Oryzias latipes: one gene and its partner. The main gene of each other region encodes a partner of the protein of the gene in region 2 in a complex. Links are inferred from orthologs where the notes say so. Each region holds a gene or a part of one and is shown on either strand. Other genes may lie near its edges.

The links. The genes of interacting proteins can lie anywhere in the genome.
Region 1: the proteins of kif1bp (region 2) and kif15 are in contact, whole or in part, in a cryo-EM structure (PDB 6ZPH), measured with the Homo sapiens proteins. The link is inferred for Oryzias latipes from reciprocal best matches to the Homo sapiens genes KIFBP and KIF15. Residues at the interface, in NP_056449.1 of Homo sapiens: Lys26, Tyr33, Lys36, Ile106, Glu109, Ile147, Ser150, Glu151, Glu153, Thr208, His209, Tyr212, Tyr213, Gln216, Gln219, His220, Phe224, Gln238, Glu248, Trp249, Ile251, Asn252, Thr255, Gln258, Phe259, Asn262, Tyr415, Val416, Thr417, Glu421; in NP_064627.1 of Homo sapiens: Leu187, Glu189, Ile191, Lys192, Lys193, Arg231, Glu232, Arg235, Arg271, Met280, Arg281, Leu282, Lys283, Glu284, Ala285, Gly286, Asn287, Asn289, Arg290, Leu292, Ser293, Gly296, Gln297, Ile299, Ala301, Val303, Asp304, Val305, Gly306, His312.

What each region holds. Positions count from the first base shown.
Region 1 is NC_019880.2:12,225,313-12,231,635, forward strand, and holds the start of kif15 (kinesin-like protein KIF15), read right to left. Parts: upstream 3,729-6,323; 5' UTR 3,593-3,728; coding exon 3,574-3,592; intron 3,296-3,573; coding exon 3,265-3,295; intron 2,913-3,264; coding exon 2,726-2,912; intron 2,617-2,725; coding exon 2,540-2,616; intron 1,893-2,539; coding exon 1,855-1,892; intron 1,777-1,854; coding exon 1,679-1,776; intron 1,582-1,678; coding exon 1,402-1,581; intron 1,235-1,401; coding exon 1,025-1,234; intron 939-1,024; coding exon 813-938; intron 730-812; coding exon 607-729; intron 503-606; coding exon 355-502; intron 277-354; coding exon 185-276; intron 98-184; coding exon 1-97. Other genes in the region: tacc3 (transforming acidic coiled-coil-containing protein 3), read left to right, coding at 5,912-6,076, 6,158-6,267. UniProt on the Homo sapiens protein: Plus-end directed kinesin-like motor enzyme involved in mitotic spindle assembly.
Region 2 is NC_019861.2:24,160,348-24,165,390, forward strand, and holds the end of kif1bp (KIF1-binding protein), read left to right. Parts: intron 1-54; coding exon 55-129; intron 130-884; coding exon 885-1,047; intron 1,048-1,171; coding exon 1,172-1,346; intron 1,347-1,413; coding exon 1,414-1,599; intron 1,600-1,712; coding exon 1,713-1,851; 3' UTR 1,852-2,679; downstream 2,680-5,043. UniProt on the Homo sapiens protein: Activator of KIF1B plus-end-directed microtubule motor activity. Required for organization of axonal microtubules, and axonal outgrowth and maintenance during peripheral and central nervous system development.

The DNA of each region.
Region 1 (6,323 bases), on a different chromosome or scaffold from region 2:
GATCTTCTCGAAAGCGGATTATCATTCTGCTGGAATGAATGAATCTGTCTTTTTGCGTCCATGCCTCCTCGAGCTGAGCCACTTTCTTCAGCAGCATCTGTGGAGCATAAGGTTAAATGTCTGGCACCAAAAAACATTTTCTCACTGGGATGTCATCTTCTATACGCCAAAAACATTTTAGAACCTTTCTTTCCTCTTCCGTCTTTTTCCACAGTCGAACAGCACTCATATACTTTGCTTGATATTGCGGATCTTGAACATTTTCAACAGATAGACCTGATAGGAGGGGGAAAAATAACTTAATTAAACAATGAGTTATCAATTATTCCATGTTCATTTTGGGGATATTGTTACCCATGGAGAATTCAGGTCCTCCAGGAGCTACATCTCTGGAATGCTGGACTCCCTGATATCCCTGCACCTGTGCAAGCTGCTCTTTCAGTTTCCTCACTTCAGCCTGCAGCTGCCTCACGTTTCCCTGTGTGTCTTCATTGATAACCGCCTAAAAAAAGGAAAAGAATTACTCTTTAAACACATAAATAACCCTAAACTCCTTCCTTTGGGCTTGTTACATTAGGATATTGGATGCTACTGGATAACACAGACCTTGTTTTTTATCAGCTTTGCTCTCTGCGCAAAATGCAAAGTGGATAATGTCTCCCCAAAACATTTTGAGCCAGGGTGAACATTGGCTATGATGTAAGTTTTGGCATTTCCACCAAGAGAGTCCTAAAATACAAACAAAAACATGCATGTTTTTGCAAACGGTACGAAACGCAAAACGAAAACACCAACATTTGAAAAATTCTAACCCGGAGAAGGAAGGTGAGCTTAGAGTCCCGGTAGCAGATGTGACGGTTCTTCCCATTGGACACGTCCACCAGTGCCATAATCACCTGGCCCAGACACATGAGGGAGCGATTGATGCTGCTGGCCTCCTGTATTTTGCGTTAAAGAAAACAGCAGTTTTTAAGCAATAAAAGCAAATACGGGTGTGATGAACCATTCTCGAACAAAGCTGTACCTTGAGTCGGGAACCCTCTGTGTGCGTGTCTTTTTGTCTCTCAGAACCTGCCAGATCAACAAGGTTCAGCTGAGATGTTCGGATGTTCACCACCTCATTTTTCGTCTCCTTGGATTCCAGCGTCATCGTGAACACGGCGTGAGACCTTGAAGACTCGCGGTTCATTGAAGTGGAGGCCACGCGTCGATTGCGCCAGCCCGTAGACAAAACCTCAAAAGGTTTGAACACAAATAATTTAAGGACTTTCTGTACATTTTCCAAAAACCTGAATGCGTGTGTGCTAAACGGGGTCGAAAGCAACTTCAACAAGTCAAGAATTTGGTTCTGATGCAAGAGATTTGAGAGAACTCACAATCGTCTGTATATTATTTATATACCTGATAGGCTTCTGCTGCAGAGCTGACAAACTTCTCCACAGCTCCCTCAACAAACACTCCTTTTTTAATGTTTTCTCGTAGAAAAAGGCTGGCAGACGCCGTGTCCAACAGGTCATAAATTTGTTCATTGTATATCTCAATAAATGAACACTTGCAAAGGAAATTCTTGGACTTTGCTGACTATGAAGAGAGGAGAGACAAGTATGGCATTTGTTGTAAAACACAGTTATAAATGAAACATCAGATCACAGTCCTGAAAAAAAATGTTGTTACTTACTTTCTCTGCTTCTCTGTTAATGAGGAAAAACAGGTACTCAAAACTGCGAGGAATAACCCCTCTCATTTCATCTGTGAAGTTATCCAACTCCGATGGGCCTGAAATAAAACTTTATTTGGTTAATGCTTAGGTAATATTTGGAATAAGATATTTAAATAGTGAAAGCGTATCCTCACCAAGCATAGTGAACGTTTTTCCAGAGCCGGTTTGCCCACTAAAAGAAACAAAGAGACAAAAAAGAATCTTGAGGAAAAATAAAGAGGGGGTAAAAAAGTGTTTGTCAGCCACCAATTTTGCAAGTTGTCCCACTAAAAGAAATCTATGTTCATCATAAATACACTTTAACTGACAGCATTTAAAAAAATATATAAATAAATACATTTTGATGTTTTTAAGAATTTATTTGTGCACTGCAGCTGCTACTTTGGTCCATTTTTCTGAAGAGCTGGGATGTTTTGCAACTGTTGCTGGACTTTCAACTCCCTCTACAGATCCTCTATTATTGGAACCAGATCTGGAGACTGACTAGGTCTCTTCAGAACCTTGAAATACTTTACTTTATGACGACATTCCTTCTCAGTGATCGAAGGAGGTCTTCGCCCAAAATCTCATAGTTACCAGCTACAGTGTATCCAAACCTGGTGAAGATCTACATTAGACATTACCAATGAATGCAAAGTATTACTATATATTTATAAACACCATTATATAAATAAAAGAAAACAAAAAAATGTTTTATTGGATTCTTTTTCTTACGTTGTGTCTCTTCGTCAAAGCTATAGTGTATCTATGACCTCTCATCTATTTAAGTGAGACAACTTGGAAAGACTGTGAAATAATTCTGAACAAAAAGCTACTTACTATGCAAATATGGTTCCATTATACCCATTCATACAGGATTCAACAATGTTCTTGGCCACAATGTTGAATACAGAATCCTGCACAGAAAGGACAAAGAACCATCAAAAAGTGGAATAGTTTCGGTTCTCTATTTCAGTTCAGACAGGAAAGTGACATTTCCTAAAGCAACATTGGTGCGACTGGAACCTGAGATGTATCCATGTCAGCAACATGATCATAAGTGAAGGTCCGCGGCTCTGGCTTTGATAGCAGACGGATGGTGTTGGGTGATGTGACTGTGAGACATAGGTTCTGGTCTCCATCCGTGGTCAGCCCGGTGCCATGGGTCAGAGGTCGCACACGGATGAAGACTTTAATAGAATCACTATCAGAACTGTTGACAAACAAACAAATACAATGAGCCTCTTTTAAAAAAAAAGCATTTGGTTAAATAAACCATCATTTATGATTACATACACACATTTATCACGTCTTTTAATTCAATGTGATATCTTCTGTAAGTCTTGTGGGGTTTTTATTGGTGTTGACATTTGGACCTCGAATCTATAGTTCTATTCAACTGAAGTTTACAATAACACAGCAAATATGACAAGTAAAGTAAAACAAGGGAAACATAAAAATGAAAACCTGGGGTTAACCAAGTTGGTTTTACTAGCAAACACAACAACAAAGTGTGTATTATGTGTGTGTTTGTGTCCACAACAGTAATAAAATGTACCACCTACCTGGCACAATGGAGGGATGATTCTCCAAATCCTGTTTACAAAATAATAATAAACAGATCAATCTTCTTCTTGCGGTGCTCAAGAAAACCAATTTTAACCAATTTTAAAAACATTTCAACCAATTTTAAAGTCGAACCATCGTTTAGAGTTAAGTAATCTTGTTAGAAATGCGTAACTTTACAGCTTATTTCTTTCTGAACCTCCCATCATTACCGTGTAGTAAAGAACATCATGAAAAGCTTAGCTAACGATGGCGTCGGATTTAAATGGAAGCATAACAAATCCTAAACCAAGTAAAAAAAAAGGTACCTCTTCCGTTGGAAGTCATTGTTATAGATTGGCGTAGCAACCGTTAAAAAGTTAAAAACATCCCAATGGCGTGTGGATTAAAAAGAAAAAAGAACATCCGGCACTGTTTACACTCGGCAAATCTGGCGGGTTTATCCAATCAGTCTTCCTCGGCTTTTACGTTGGGTGGCAACCATCGTAAAAGGTGCTGGTTCGCCCCCTAATGGTAGTGTTGGTGTAAAAGGGTAATTATTTTTAACAGCACAGGCACACACAAAAATAATAAGTTACTCCTGCAACCTTTGAACTAAAGTGTTACCAAGTCGTATATTAAGCAGCTAGATTTAAAAGCGTGGGTCTTAAACAGCTTTAATTTTAAAATTCGGTCTATATTTTGTATGAGAAGTAATGCATATTGCTACACCCCAACTCTTTGAAAACAAAAGTTTGACAATATTTTTAAAGAGTTTTTTTTCTAAATAAATGGGATATTGTGTCTTAGCCTGGTCTTTTATTTTAGTTTTTTAGGTCTCTTTTATGAGGTCTTAAATGCGTAGCAAATCTGTACTGTGAGTAACTTATTTTGCCACCAAACGTTAAGCTTTAGAAATTAAAAAAATGTTTAGATGATAAATTTCTTGCAGCACAATACTATAAAATCACATTATAGTATGTGTTTTTATATCTACGGAGTTTTAAACTTGGTGCTCTGCTACTCCTAAAATGAAAATCCACTTTGCGTCATTTCCGGTCTTTGATCTGATTGGTTACTCGACCAGGAAGAGCGTCTGTTTGAACACTTTAAACCACGTTATTGGTGCGTTCGGAGACTTTTCAATTCCAAACGGCTGAAGCCCAGAAAAAGCTGGTGAGGGTTTTTCCAAAAGCAAATCCAGACAGGTCTACAACTGAATGTCTGCGTGAAAGAGATTGTAATTTTAAAAAACAGCCTTTTATTGTGAGGTAGGTGGAATAAAGAATTTCTGTCACGGCATTAGATAGCTTTTCTCAGAGTTTGTTGAATTGTTATTCATATCCTTTTACTAGCTAAACCGGCGTTGGCCAACGGTAGTTCTTGGCTTTTTCAAATGTTTATCTTTCATCAGGTTTAGTAAAGTTTAATCATAAAATATAAGACATAAACAATCTAACGAAATGTTAATATTTTTACGTTCACTTGCATAAAATGTATGGCTGCTTTTCTTTCTGTTAACATCCGTTGGATGTTTCGGACTACAGGCCGCATGTAGTCACACACTAATTAAAATGAAATCTTTCTGTTTTTCTGTGTTCGTATTTACACTTCTCTGACCACATTTTAGATTTTCTTATTGACTTCAGCAATAACTAATTATCCTTCAAACTCCGTCAAATTGTAATAGTAATAACAACTGCAGTTATCATCATCGTATATGTATTTATTCTTGTGTATTTGCACATCATGCTAGTGTAATGTATAATATCTCGTAAACGGGTTGTGGGGTTTTAAAATTGAAACTCAATGTTGTGATGTGGCCTCGACCTGAGAAGACCTATTGCAAAATTAACATTACCGCCCTCTAGTGGTTAAACACGATACTACTTAGTGTTATTTATTTATTTATTTTTTATTGTACATTTTTCAATTTACAGACATTCACAGTCACTTGCACAATAAACAATTGTTAATATCTAACACACATATAAGACCGAAAAAACAAAAAACAGTAATATTTTTAACAATGTGTGTACCTTTTTTTTTTTTTTTTTTTTTGTAGATGCTCATTTATTTTACAAGTTACTTTGAGATGTTTCGTCATTTGTTTTCTTGTATTTTCTAAATATGTTTTGTCACATTTTTTTTTACCCATAGTTTTTAATGATTTTATTGGTATTTTAATTTTTTATGAACACAATCTTAAGTGTTACTTTGCACTGTGGCAGCTTTTACAAATGACAGTGTTTTAATTCACTTAATTTAACTATCGTTATTTCTTAAAATTTTCAATGTTTCTTGTTAATTATTTAAGTTAGGTTTAATGCTATTACAACAGGGACATGTAATATTGATATAAATATTTAGAAAAAAGGTCCCATTTACTTGAAGTTGATTAAAATTTCAATTAACTTCATGACTTGATGTACACCATTGTATCCAGTTGACACTGGTGTTTTTACACAAATCAATGTTTCTAATTGCAACCAATGATCATTTTAAGCCAAAGTATGCAGTCTAACTTGCACATGCCCTTATTCTGGTAAAAACATCTGGTTGTGTGCATCACTTCCACATCTACAGTGTCTTATCAGCTGCGTACAGCTTTCATGTTTCCCCCCTGTCTGCAGACTGCATGTTCATTTGTTTTTCTGTTTTTGCAGGATGAGTCTTTCTGAAGTGAATGATGAGAACTGCGGGGTCTTCCCAGGTGGGAAACTTAACAGCTTGAATCAAGACATTTTTGCTCTTGATCAACCTACTGGGAGACCTTCTATCCTGCGTCAGACGGAGAACCTGCCCAACAAGGGTCTGCCAAAGGGGATAAAGGTACAGACTGATCTAGTTTGTGTATACGTTTCACTACAAGATGACAATCTCTATTATAGTTGACTCAATTTCTGTGCTCAGGTTTGTTTTCAGACCCCACGAAGAGACCCGTTAACCAAAAGAATTCTGTCCCCCAACAAATGTGCCACTATCTCAAACGTGGATGAGTTCTTAAATGTGGATACGTCAGAGTAAGTGACTGTCTTGGATCCCAGCGTGTCTCTAAATGAATAATTGTTGCACTGAT
Region 2 (5,043 bases):
CACCTGTTGAAAGGATCGTCTTTTTTTGCAAGTGAACCTTTGTTTTTTTTCCAGGTTTCCTATTTGTTCCCTTTGGATTTCACGGAGGCCAGAGCCATCTTTCTAGTGGGACAGAATTATGTCAACCAGGTATGCATAACAATTGATTCATAAGTCCCAGTTATTCATGAAATACTCCACATCGGCCAATTCCTTCGCAGAAAAATAATGGAAAACACACAGCAGCTAATCTGTAAAAATCTATTTAATTTTTTTTTCACAAATTCTAACAACATTTTAAGCTTTGATGCATTATTTTTGTTTTATTGTTGTTTTTTCAAGTTTATAGAATCTGCAGTTATTACAGAACTGAACTAAAAAGGCTTAAGAACTAGATTAATTAGCACTAACAGAGGCTAACCTGAATCCGTTCTCTGCTTTACTCAGCTCATTAGGAAATCCTCAATTCTTTGACGTTCTTTTTAAACCAATTTGGAAATCTATATAAACCCACAGTGTCCGTGCTCAGTTTTACACTGAAACTTGTGCGGTTTGTATCTTGGTGGCATCAGATCACTTGGTTTCTGTGAGTTTGCCTTTAATGCAGTATACCATTTCCTGAAAGCCATTCATGCATTAGAAAGAGATTGCAGTGCACCACACACACACAGAAACACACACAAGCGCTGGCTTTACAAAAAAAACCAAAGATAAGTTTAACCTGGAATGAACTTTAGTGAGAAAAATCTATATCAAAGTCACTGGGTTGAGTTTCACTCTCTGTGGGTGCAGTTTCACTTCAAAAATGTTTTTGAAAGCATCTACAAAATGCTGTGTAAAGGATTTTAATTAGAAAAGCGTGTTTTTTGTACTTATCTGCATCTTTGTCTGTTATCCATCCCAAGGCAAAGGAGCACTTCCAGATGGATGGGTTTGTGACAGACCACATCGAGATTTTGCAGGACCACAGCGCTCTGTTCCGGGCCCTGGCTTTCTTTGAGGAGGATGTAGAGCGGCGCTGCAAAATGCACAAAAGAAGAGTTGACATGCTGGAACCCATCTGTAACGGTACGACCAAACTTCAGTTCGTCTTGTTCTCTGAAGGCTCATCTCTGTGATATGTTCAAATGAAACCAATAAACTGGACAGAAAAGCTGAATTTTATCTTGCTTTGTTTCTAATGTTTCCTCAGACTTGAATTCCCAGTACTACCTTTTAATCCGCAGACAGCTGATGTTTGAGCTGGCTGAGACCTACAATGAAATGATGGATCTGAAGCTAACTCTGGCCAACAGACAGGAAGATTCTCAATCTCTAGATAACCATACAATTAAAAAGTTCAACCACCTGTGTTCCGCCTCTGCCAAGTAAGCATTCCCCTTTGAAGCCCTTTTGTGTATTTTCTACATGTGAGTGAGCTGAAATCCTCTCCAGGTACTTTCAGATGTTCCTGGACTCCCTGTGTTCTCCTGAGGGGAAAATTCCTGAGCACCTGGAGGAAGACGTCCTCCGACCGGCTCTGGTGGCTCGATTCAGAGTTGCTCGACTGCATAGCAAACTGATCAGCTCCTCGCCGCCAGTTCAGCTGGACAACCTCAACAAAGCTCTAGAAAACTACAAGTACGAAAAACCTTTAACTATGGATCAAATAGGACTGGAACTAAATTTAGATGGGAGTAGAAAACTTTGATGTGATGTCTCTTTAATCGTTTTCTCTCAAAACTTTTGTCCAGGTATGTGGTGCAGTATTGTGAGGCCCACCCAGAGGCTGCAGCCGCTGCAGAGACGGAGCTGGAGTTGAGTAAGGAGATGGTGGGCCTCCTCCCTTTGAAAATCAATCGGCTGAAAGCAAGGATGGCTACGAACAACTAAAAAAGTGCTCCTTTTTGCTGCCTGGAGCTCTGCTGAAACAATGTTTACCTGTTTTCAGTAGAAAGTCAGGGACTCTGTTTGGTCTGGTAACAATTGTCCTTTTTCCTGTGAGCATGCTGCTGAACCCATTACAGGCTCTTTAACTTATGTGCTCTTAACTGTCATACATATTGTGATTACATGTCTGCTTGTGATTGTTAATAAAAAGAATATCTCACTCTTGTGACACTTAGAAATTCTTAAGTGTTGGGGTTTGTGGACGGATCTGAATGGATTGTAAACACTGAGACCTTTGTGAAGCTTTAAGGATCATTTTAACAGATTTTCCGTATGCTTTTCTTTTCCATTTTCAGTTTTGCACTATTAAAATGTCTACTTTGAGCCTATCCCATATAAATAGACGGTACACATAGTGGGGTTTTACTCAAAATTCCCTTTTTCTACTAAGTTCTCCATTTAACTAAAGTAGGTTATTCAGCTACTTTCTGCACACAAGACTTCACAAGTGCAATAATAATGGGACACTTCGAGGTAAAGAGCAGTAAATGATGTGCAAATATCTGCTTTCTCTGAAATGAGATGCCTGTGCTGCAAGTTCACAGAACAACAGTCATTACATGGACTTGACTCAGTTTTTATCACAGCCTGCGTGATGTGCTCAAAATCCATTCCAGTGTGTTTCTCTCACTGACGGTTGCCAGAATTCAGTCTGTTTTGTGCAAAGCAGATATTGTGTATAATTTAAACCAATGTTGTAATCCTTTCTAATACCATAGTACCAAGATGCATTTCTTTTAGGTGTATTAAAAAGCTGAATGTGAAATGGTATCACTTGTTTTCTGACATCTCTACAAGTTTTATCAAAAGTCTAAATACAACTTTTTAGTTTAAATCAGATTTTTTTTTATTTACTGTGATAACTTTTTGAAAATATTAATAGAAAACTTGTTCTCTTGCGTTCATACTTTAAAGCTGCAACTTCTTTGCCAAGGAAGTCTGTGTTTTGTCTTTTAATTTGTTTGAATCTATGTTAGAATAGTTATGGTTTCTTGAAATTCCTATTACGTAAGACATTTCAGACTGTTGCCGGAATGGAGTTCACGATTAAACTTAATAAAGTGGGGGTAGAAGCTGAAGCAAGATTTGCAGCCTGCAGTTGGGACTTTTGTACGATGATCTGAGAGGGTTGAAGACGGCAGAAGGAAGCCACACTCAAGTAGATCAACGTTGCATGACCTCAAAAATTTGGTATTAACCCACATGTCTGACTGCAGAAGATCTTTGCTGCTCCTTTTTACAAAAGCACAAAATAAGAAGGTGGCAGTTCAGTTTCCACATCAGATGCACCATTTGCATGTAGAATTAGTGAATAAAAGAAATAAAGTATTTTCTTCCTTGGAGTAAAAAAGGAACTGATGGTTACTAAACTAGTCCCGATTTACTGGAACAAACCCTGTAGCCATGCAAACTGTCACTAAACTGTCTCTGCTAGTTTGACCTTTGACAAGTTACAATAGGAAAAACGGATCACAGCAGCTTAATGAAGTCAACAGTCATCATTTCCCCTCAACAGTTGCAGAGAATTGGCAGCACGTATCATTTTTTAGGACAGATTGTCTCCTCTACAAATGGGTTATGTGACCCTGGTTTAATTCCACATATACATCAGCTGTGCATATTTGTGCTTTGCAAGTTCTGCAATATCTCCTTTTTTGTGTGTAAAAGCTGCCGTTGCACCATAATAGCATTAGTCATGTTAACAAATAATTGATCTAGTTTCAGGTTAGTTAAAGCACATGTCACACACACAAAAAAATTGCTAATGTAATATAATGAAAACAAGATACTATAAAGTAATTCTGATTGTGCTAAAGGTGAGACACTGCATAATTTTTCTCCAGAAATTACACCACACGATGTTACCACATCCTTTATCATGATACTGATGTGTCAGCTAAATAATTTACTCATCTTCATGCTGTGTTTCACTTCCAGAAAAAAAAAAACTTGAATTAAATGCTAAAAAGGAACATGTTTAAATGATGACATTAACAGGAAGCAAACTAATGAGCCTGCAAGCCACGAGTGTTAGATGTTAATGCTCCCTGAACTTATAGATAAGATAAGCTGTGTCTGCATTAGAAAAAGGGTTAAAATGACCTAAAATACCTAATAATAGATTTTTTTTTATGTATGCATTAGTAATGTCCTGACATTCAGATATTGGTCAGTGGGAGGTTTTTTTTTTATCAAGAAACTGTCCACAATCAAATTCACATGCTTCATTTTGTGTATGGAATCTCATTAAAAGGCTTCCTTTAACAGTCTTGAACACTCCCAGATAGGGAAGGGTGTAACAGTTAATCAAATGATCAATAAATTGATTCATATTCCTATGATCCACCCAGATTGATTTGTCTAAAGCAAGTTGTTATTCGAATCGACCTATACCGTTATAAAATTGTTTCAAAATGGGGCTGAACTTCATGAAACTAAATTGTGAATGGATTTTCCTTTAATTCTTCTTGACTCATTTGTTTACATACATATTTTATTTACACTTGATTATCTTACAATAAATGAAAGGAATCTGGGAAACTTATCTCTGAGTCACACTGGTTGGAGTTTGGGCTGAAGATCTTCTAGATCGGTTTTAGGTCAGTGAATCAGATTGAATCGGATTTTTAAAAAATGAACCAATGGACCGGATCATCAACCCCAAATAGTGACATGAATCGAATGATTAAATTGAATCATTATACCCCTAATCCTAGAGTATACGTTTTGATTCATCTTTACTGTAGTAACTTAAAGGATCTGTATGTCAGGCAGTAGTGGAGCTAGTACCTTTTATGTGAGGGGGGCCATTGGGGCCCTGAAATGCAAATTTCATCAACAAATCACTCAGGGCAGGAAACAATTTAAAGATCACAGCAAGAAAAAGCAAAATAAATATTACCTTTTCCGGTTTCTAATTGTGTTTTATTTTTAAACATTACATTTTAATTTCTGTAAATTACTTTTGCTCTCTGAAGTGTTTTTTTTTTGTTCTTTTGGACATAAACCAGAAAAGGTTGGTACTATGGGATATTGCTGATTGATGACGACATTTATCTATTATTTCAACTGAAAGTTTTTTGGAATAAAGCAATACTGGTTATCATCCTCATCATCCTCCATTCAGCGATTTCC